Linked DNA regions of Canis lupus familiaris. The protein of the gene in region 1 purifies or fractionates together with the protein of each later gene. This does not show direct contact. Links are inferred from orthologs where the notes say so. Each region holds a gene or a part of one and is shown in the gene's direction. Other genes may lie near its edges.

Region 1 (4,135 bases):
TTACCTTTCCGTCTTTTTCCCTCACAAACTATGTTGTTTCTTTGCATAGTAAAATAGATGTTTCTTATCCTAACACTAATGCCTGCCATTCCCCCTACTTTGATGGTGTCATGTCATGTCCCTTGCTGATTATTAACAGACGGCATCTCTAGCTCAGATCTCTCCTGTGTACATACCCACAGAGCCATCTGCCTCCAGGACACCTATCTCTCTGGAGATGCCCATCAAGCATCTCAAACTTGTCATGCCCCAAATTGAACTCATCACTTTCCTCCCTATCTTACTGTTCCTTTAGAACTCATTACTTCAGTGAATGGAAATCTCATATTCACTGGGAGACTCATTTCTCCTGAGGGCTGTGATTGGTGGTTGGTGGCAAGTGTAGTGGGGTCACCTGTATTACAAATCGTTTTGGTTATGGACAAAAACATTTTGTCACGTGACTTAGAAAACCAGCAGTGTAATCATCCTTTTGGCAGTGGAACATTGGGGAAAATCACCTCTATTGCGTGACAGCTACTTTCTCCAAATCCAGATCAGTATTTTCTCTTCATTTTGAATACAGGAAGCAACATCTTCCAGTGTTCAAAGAAAACATGAAATCATTGAAACACACACACAGAAGCAGAACCCTGGGAAAAGTAAAAACAAGATGGAAAAACTCCTGAGACAAGGATTTGATGCTGTTGGCACTAACTGTGGGGAGAGGGAGCAGGATTAGGAGTGTACAAAGAGGCTATACGTAAGCAAGTTTGGGTCATGTTTTTACTCATTGATAGTGACACTGTATCTTTATAAAAACATCTTAAGATTCTTGATTAATAATATGAAGAGAGAAGAAACTCCTTTGTGCTCCCCAAGGAAAAATAAACTATAAAGTTTCATGGGATTTTAAATTGCCTTATTTTACTCATTAAGGAGTTGCAAGAAATAATTTTATCACTATTTTGATTTGTGAGAGTTTAAGAACATAATTTTTACTATTAATAGAGCATTGTAATATTTGTAATATTTGTCCTGTATTTTTTCTTTTACTTTTTATTGTAACTACAGTGACAAATTATTATAGTTATTTGAATCTCTGATTCTCAAAGGGTTAGGGAATGGATGAGTGAGAGATGATGGTGGTGGTGGTATGTGCGAGAGAGGTTTGTTTGTTGATGAAGAGGTAAGTGAGGGAGTTACTAAAAATTATAGTTAAGGTCTGAATTGCTTAAGAGTGCTTAACATTGTTGAGGCTGGGATAATGGTCGAGAACCACAGATTAAGATTTTGAGAAAAACCAGGACCAAGAATATCTATTCTAGTTATATCCATCTACTGAATGTGGCTAAATAGTCATTTGAAAACATTTTTCTGGTTCCTTAGCACCTTTTATTGCAGGTGAACTATTTATGCCTTGGGGGGAAATTCCTAGTGCTATAGCATAGAAGGTTCAACAGCGGCAAGTGATACCATTACTGATAATTTAGAAGGATGGGAAAGCCCTTATTTCTGTAAGTTAGTGTATTGAACCAAATTAATGATAAAGCTTGTCAGTGCTTACTGAAGCAGTTTCTTCACTGCATCAGCTTAAAATAGTCTCAAGCTAAGCTAAACTGTTATTTTAAAGCCTTGAAAGATGAGCTGTATTTGTACCCTAAAGCAAGATGACTACCTATAGCCTAAGTGTGCTATTCTGCAGTACATGCCTCTTTTCTCCTTTGTCCTCTGCTTGCTGTCTGTCTGCAAGGGCATTTACTTCTTTTCAAAGGGAGTGTCATCTCTTCATTACCTGTGTGTCAAATATCACAAGTAGTTGACATTGACCAATCAGTATGAAATGTGGATATTTGCATTAGACAAGGATGTTTTCATATCACTTCTAGGTATTTTGGGTTTAACTGTGTGAAATGCTAGTAGTTTAAACTACTGTGTAAGTAGAGGCTTTTAAAAGCTAGCTTTTGAGTGGAGGACGATTTCTTTTTCTTTTTCTTTTTCTTTTCTTTCTTTTTCTTTTTCTTTTTCTTTCTTTTTCTTTTCTTTTTTTTTCTTTTTCTTTTCTTTCTTTTTCTTTTTCTTTCTTTTTCTTTTTCTTTTCTTTCTTTTTCTTTTCTTTCTTTTCTTTTTCTTTTCTTTTCTTTTCTTTTCTTTTCTTTTTCTTTTCTTTTTCTTTTCTTTCTTTTCTTTTCTTTTCTTTTTCTTTTTCTTTTTCTTTTTCTTTTTCTTTTTCTTTTTCTTTTTCTTTTCTTTTTCTTTTCTTTTTCTTTTTCTTTTTCTTTTTCTTTTTCTTTTTCTTTTCTTTTTCTTTTCTATGATCAACAGGAAGAAAGAGAGGCAGACACACAAGCAGAGGGAGAAGCAGGCTCCACACAAGGAGCCCGATGTGGGACTTGATCCTGGTACTCCCAGATCACGCCCTGAGCCGAAGGCTGACTCAACCGCTGAGGCACCCAGGTGTCCCTTGAGTGGAGGAAGATTTCTAACAGCTTTCTTTTTTTCTTTTTTTTTTTTCCTAACAGCTTTCTTAACAGGCCTTTTACCTGTTTCCAGACTCTTGCCAACTGAGTACTATAATAAAAACAATTGTTTGAACACCCTGTTTTATGTAGAGACAATAGCCTACAAGACATTACATTGTAATGTAAATGTAAATAATTACATTATTTAATTTAAAATCTAAGTTAATCACAGTTTAATTACATTGTAAGGTAAATATAATGTAAATAATTACATTAATTTAAAATCTTTTCTCTTTTCATTTATATTTTCTGCTAGATATTAAGGCTAAGGCACACCACAGGTGTATCAACAAAGAAAAATGTTGCAGCCTTAAGACGTGAAACTTACACAGTGGATTTTATTAAAAAGCAGATTGAAGAGTTCAACATAGGAAAGAGACATTTAGCCAACATGATGGGAGAAGATCCAGAAACTTTTACGCAAGAGGATATTGACGTAAGTACAGTTACTCGGTTGGGAAAGTAATTGCTGTAGAGTTTGTTTGTTATGATTTATTTATTTATTTATTTGAGAGAGAGAGAGCACTAGCCAAGGTGAGGGAGAGAGTGAAGGGTAGAGGCAGAAGGAAAAAGAAACGTAAGCAGACTCTGTGCTGAGCTCAGAGCCTGATACAGGCCTCCATCTCATGACCCTGAGATCATGGACGACCTGAGACAAAACCAAGAATCCAACACTTAATCGACTGTGCCACCCAGGCATCACTAGCTCTGTCAGTTTTAATCAAACTGTAAGAATAAGGAGAAATACCACTCTGCATTGCAAGTTGGAACCCAGGTTTCAAAGAGAAATGCTACCCTGTATTTGGAGCATTGTGAAGCATAGTGAGTGTTAGATTTTAATGTGAAATGGATAATTGTCTTGATTCAAGGTCCTAGGAGCCAATGTGAATATTTAGAACAATGTAGAAATATTTATCCTATTGTAGTTTTAAACTCAGCTTTCTTACAAATAGTAAAACAGATGATGATGGAAATAGAGTCAAGTTTATAGAAAGTCCCATAAGTAAACCTGAGTTTAGTGTTTTTTTATTATTATCTTAGCTATACATTTGAATTTTCAGTCAGGGCATGTTCTAAATGATTTGAGAGAGTTAGAACTGTGTTATTGTTCCACTTTTGAGTTGTTCTGACCCTGATAAAAGTAGTAATAATAAATAATACTTTTTTGCTAGACATCACAACATAGCTAGCAAAGGTACTTAAAATTTAACCAATTTGAAGTTTGTTCTAACTTTTTAAAATTTTATTTTGAATTCCATTATAGTTAATGTACAATGTTGTGTTAGTTTTGGGTATACAATATAGTGATTCAGCACTTCATACAACACTCAGTGCTCATCACAACTGCCTTCCTTAATCCCCCGTCACCTATATCCCCCATATACCCCTCCCCCCCACCGGGAACCATCAGTGTGTTCTCTATAGTTTAGAGTCAGCTTCTTGGTTTGTCTCTTTTTCCCTTTGCTCGTTTTTTTGTTAGCTGGTTTCCTAAATTCCACAAATGAGTGAAATCAAATGGTATTTGTTTTTCTGTGACTGACATGTTTCACTTAGCATTATACTTTCTAGCTCCATCCGTGTCAGTGCACATGGCAAGATTTCATTCTTTTTTTATGGCTGAATAATACTCCTCT
Region 2 (4,801 bases), on another chromosome or scaffold:
TATTTTTCATAACACGAATATTTAAAAATGTAAAACTATCTAAGGACACTTATAGACTCAAAGAAGCATCATCATAACTACATTTAAACTTTGATTCATGAAGGGACTAATTATCCAGTTTGTGAACCTGTAAGCCCCTGTAGCTCTCTTCCCATTCTTTGCAAAGAATTTGAAACTCCAGTTTGTGAGTTGTTTATAAGCTCCAAGGACATCGTAACCAAAGGCCAAATGAGTTTTTGGCACTATTTGGAAGTTCCTATTTTGGGTGCCTTCCCCCTCCACTGACTTTCACCGAGAATTAGCAGTACTGTACATACTCCATTAGTTAATTTCAACTGTCATTCCACAGATGTATTTCATCTTTATGACGACTGAGTGGTAAAACACATGGTTCTTGGAAGCTATGGAGAAGAAACTTGAAAAAATAAAATGCATTCAACGGTTAAATCATACTGGCCTCTGCTAGTATTGCTCCAGTTTCAAGTTAACATTCGGGGCAGCACTACTCCAGCTCCAGCACCACACAGTGGGTAGGACTGAGCTCTCTGATAGTGGGACGTTGTCTAGTCACTGTGCAGGCTTTCTTGGGGGTGTCGCATGCGCCCCTCTATCACGTATCTAAGTGCTGGCCCCCTGTGCGCAACCTCAAGAACCTAACATGCCTTTTATTTGGGAAAAGGGAAAAATCAAACTTCTAAAACACACCCAAATACACAACAGATTTCGGGAGCCGATTGTCTCTTTTTTCTTTCTTAGAAAATCCCGGCCCTTTGACTCGTCCTGAGCTCTTACTGGCTTCAGCACGACTTATGGGGGGTGTTCCTGCGGGGGGGGGGGGGGGGAGAGGCGGCGGAGGGCACGATCCGGGGGCGTGAGCTCGCGGGGGGCCGTCTGGGCGGGCGGACGTGCCCCTCCGAGGCTCGCCCCGCTCTCCCGCCCCGGGGCGGCCGGACCAGCCCTGCCATCCGGGCTGGGGAAGAGACAAAAGGGATGCTCTGTCCTCGCCCTTCCCGAGCCTAAAATCCAGGGCGCAGGGCAGGGCCTGGGAACATTCCACCAAATGCGAGACGGAAGGCACCCCCCGCGGGCAGGGCCTGCCCGTCCGTGCCGTACACATCAACACGGAAATAAGATTTCGAGGCGTTTTAAGCAGCGGGCTGGCGAGCGAGAGAAAGAGGCAGGCCCATCCAAGATGGAAGCAAGGCCGAGGGCTCGGGCGGAAGCCGCCGGGCCGGGGCCGGGGCCGGGGCCGGGGCCGCCGGGCTCTGGGTGCAGCAGCCCCGCGCCCGGGGGCCGAGAGCGAGGCGAGGGCCGCCAGCACCCAGCTCGGGAGGCCGCCCGGCTGCGGCGGATCGCTGTAACCGAAAGGCGGCCCCCCTCCTCCCCCAGCTCGGCCCCGCGGGAAGCGCACTGCGCGGCCGGCGCCGCGCTCTCGGCGGGTTGGGCGTGGGGGCGGGGAGGGCAGGGCGGGCGGGCGGGCGGGGGCGGGGGCGGGGCGCGGGGGCGGGGCCCCGCGGCGCGGGCGCGCTCCCCCCCGCAGCGGAGCTCCCGTCAGCGCAGGGGGCGGGGCGCCTATATTACGTGCGCGGCGCCGCCCCTGCGAGAGGACGTTGCGTGCTCGCTCGCGCCAGGCGAGTCTCCGCGTCTCCCTCGCGAACTCGGTGAAAGGAATTGGCGCCGTTCGACACCAGGCGGGTCCGCTCTGCAGCACGAACCCACCTCTAGCCGCAGCCGCAGCCGCCGCCCGGGCCGAGGAGCAGCCGCAGCAGCCGCCACCAGTGGCCGAGGGAGCGGAGCCGAGTTTGAGCCAGCGCCTAGCGGTGAATCGGGGCCCTCACCATGAGTTCCTCGCCTGTTAATGTAAAAAAGCTGAAGGTCTCGGAGCTGAAAGAGGAGCTCAAGAAGCGGCGCCTTTCCGACAAGGGCCTCAAGGCCGAGCTCATGGAGCGCCTCCAGGCCGCGCTGGACGACGAGGAGGCCGGGGGCCGCCCCGCCATGGAGCCCGGGAACGGCAGCCTAGACCTGGGCGGGGATTCCGCCGGGCGCTCGGGAGCAGGCCTCGAGCAGGAGGCCGCGGCCGGCGGCGACGAGGAGGAGGAGGAGGAGGAAGAGGAGGAGGAAGGGATCGCCGCCCTGGATGGCGACCAGATGGAGCTAGGAGAGGAGAACGGGGCCGCGGGGGCGGCCGACGCGGGCCCGATGGAGGAGGAGGAGGCCGCCTCGGAGGACGAGAACGGCGACGATCAGGGCTTCCAGGAAGGGGAGGATGAGCTCGGCGACGAGGAGGAAGGCGCGGGCGACGAGAACGGGCACGGGGAGCAGCAGCCTCAACCGCCGGCGACGCCGCAACAGCAGCCGCCACAGCAGCGCGGGGCCGCCAAGGAGGCCGCGGGGAAGAGCAGCGGCCCCACCTCGCTGTTCGCGGTGACGGTGGCGCCGCCCGGGGCGAGGCAGGGCCAGCAGCAGGCGGGAGGTAAGAAGAAGGCGGAAGGCGGCGGAGGCGGCGGTCGCCCCGGGGCTCCGGCGGCGGGTGAGTGCTGCGTTGTACGTTGCGCGCGGCGGGAGGCCCGCGCGGGGTGGGGACCGTGCCCCAGGCCTGCCGGAGCCCCGCGGGGGGGAGGGGGCGGGGGCCGCCGCGGGGGAGGCGGGGGGGAGGGGGCGCGGGGAATCCCGCCCGGCCGCGAGGCCTCGGCGGCCTCGGGCTCGGCGTGTGCGACGGCGGCGGCGCCTCCATTATGTGGCTGGAGGGCCGGGGGGTGGGGGTGGTAGCTGCAGCTGCCGCTGGAGGGGGAGGAGCCGCGGGCGGCGGGCGGGAGCCCGGTCGGCCCGCGGTGGCGCCGCTGCGCTGCGTGCGCGCGGTGCGGGCACATGTCTCGGGGGGGGGAGGGGAGAAGAGAGGCCCGAGGGCCCGGGGCGGGCGCGCTTTGGCGGCGCTGGGCCGCGGTATTGTGCAAGGAGCGCAGGGGCTCGGCGTGACGTCACTTCCGGCGGGAGGGGCCGGGCGGGGAGAGCGGGGCGGAAGATCAGTACAATGCGGCCGCGGGGAACGCGGGCCCGGGTGGGGGAGGGGAGGAGGGGAGGGGCGGGCGCGCGGGCCGGCGCGGCCCCTCCCCCCTTCCTGAACTCTCTCCGGGATCCACGTGGGCTCGGGGCCGGGGCCGCCCTGGGCTCCGGGAGCTTTCTCGAATCTTCGAAGAGGCTGGCAAAATTAGGAATGTCTTTAGACTGCGTCACTAGCTCCTGGCCGGTTCCAAGCTGATTGTTCTTTGAATTCGCGTTGGATTCGTCGGTTGAAATCGCTTGCAGAAAAGAACGGGGGAGTTAGGAGTATTTGCGTTCCCCAAACAGGAGGGGGGATTTTTTTTTCTTTTTCCCCGGTTGCGTCGCGGCTTGGCCCCTTATGTTAGGGGTGTTGTGTGTTATAGGAGACGGCAAAACAGAGCAGAAGGGCGGAGATAAAAAGAGAGGGGTGAAAAGACCTCGAGAAGATCATGGCCGTGGATATTTTGAGTACATTGAAGAGAACAAGTATAGCAGGTAGAGGATGCCGATCTAGTTTTACCCGTCCCCGTTCTTTCTGGGGTAGGAAAAGCTGAATCAGGAGACAATTCTGTCTTTCAGAGCCAAATCTCCTCAGCCACCTGTTGAAGAAGAAGATGAGCACTTCGATGACACAGTGGTTTGTCTTGATACTTGTAAGTGAAGCTGTTTCTTCCCTTTTCTCCCCCGGTTACTAAATGTGGCGATTTTGGTGCCAAAATGTTAGAGAACTTAAACGCAGTGTGCTGAATTTAAATGCAGAATACTTAGCGTAAACCGTTTACCTTTTTTAAAGGAGGGAGACGAAAGGTTTTATTCAGATTCTGGTAGCTAAATGTCTAATACAGCATCAATTGTGTCGTATTGATAATTTTATAGGCTCCAGCAATTTGGTGTTATTTTTTATATGATTAGAAAGTTCTCATTTATAGGAATGTAAAATTAATGGCAATTTTTGGTTTAGTTAGCTAATGGAAACTTGTAAGACAACCTGTAACTTGTCCTTTTAGGCTCCTACGATAAAGTAATTTAATTTTTTTGGTAGCATTTTATTAAGTGAGCTATTTGGGCTAGTTAAATACGTATTAATGATTTTTTCCCATTAGCACACAAGTATATTCCCTATTCTAAAAGATTGTAATATTACTTTTTCAATAACTGCTCTTTTGTTCTCAATTCCAGTTCAGTAGCTGCTGCTTTAACATAAGTTGATTTCTTCCAAAGACCTGGGGCAGCAGCAGTGGGCTATCACTGGGCTACTAGCTTTCTTCAGCAGCGAATGGTATCAATGGCAGCGCTGTAAATACTGCTACTTTACCCAGTTGGGTTGCAATTGAGTATGAGGAAGTATTGCAAACCTCTAAATGGGCCTTGGCTGTCAGATATGTAATTTTGCATAAAAATACTTTGTTCAGTATTTGATCAGAATGCACAGCTCTTTCACTTTGATAAATAGAGCTTAGAAATAATGGCTTGCTAAGTAGGTGGTCAGGTGTGAACCTGCCCCATAGATCTAGGGAGTTAAAGTTTAGATTTCCGTGTTTTCCAATACAAATTATTTTTAGCAAGATTTGTGAGAATGTAAATGTTAACTCTTGAGTTCGTATTAAATACCCTTAACAGGTAGTTGAGCTAAGGGAATCTTTTAAAAGAAAAGAAAACTGCACGTGGAAAAATCTTTGATGTGAGAGTTTTATTTTAAATAGTTCCATTGCTTTTAAATATGACTAAGTTGGAATTGGCAAGATAGTGAAGCAGTGCT

What was found.
Region 2: the proteins of MRPS9 (region 1) and HNRNPU purify together in Homo sapiens (co-immunoprecipitation; 3 studies listed by BioGRID and IntAct, with this or other methods). This does not show direct contact. The link is inferred for Canis lupus familiaris from reciprocal best matches to the Homo sapiens genes MRPS9 and HNRNPU.

The regions. Positions count from the first base shown.
Region 1 is NC_049231.1:39,408,106-39,412,240, reverse strand, and holds part of MRPS9 (28S ribosomal protein S9, mitochondrial), read left to right. Parts: intron 1-2,757; coding exon 2,758-2,937; intron 2,938-4,135.
Region 2 is NC_049228.1:35,785,202-35,790,002, reverse strand, and holds the start of HNRNPU (heterogeneous nuclear ribonucleoprotein U), read left to right. Parts: upstream 1-1,600; 5' UTR 1,601-1,839; coding exon 1,840-2,530; intron 2,531-3,425; coding exon 3,426-3,537; intron 3,538-3,621; coding exon 3,622-3,695; intron 3,696-4,801. UniProt on the Homo sapiens protein: DNA- and RNA-binding protein involved in several cellular processes such as nuclear chromatin organization, telomere-length regulation, transcription, mRNA alternative splicing and stability, Xist-mediated transcriptional silencing and mitotic cell progression.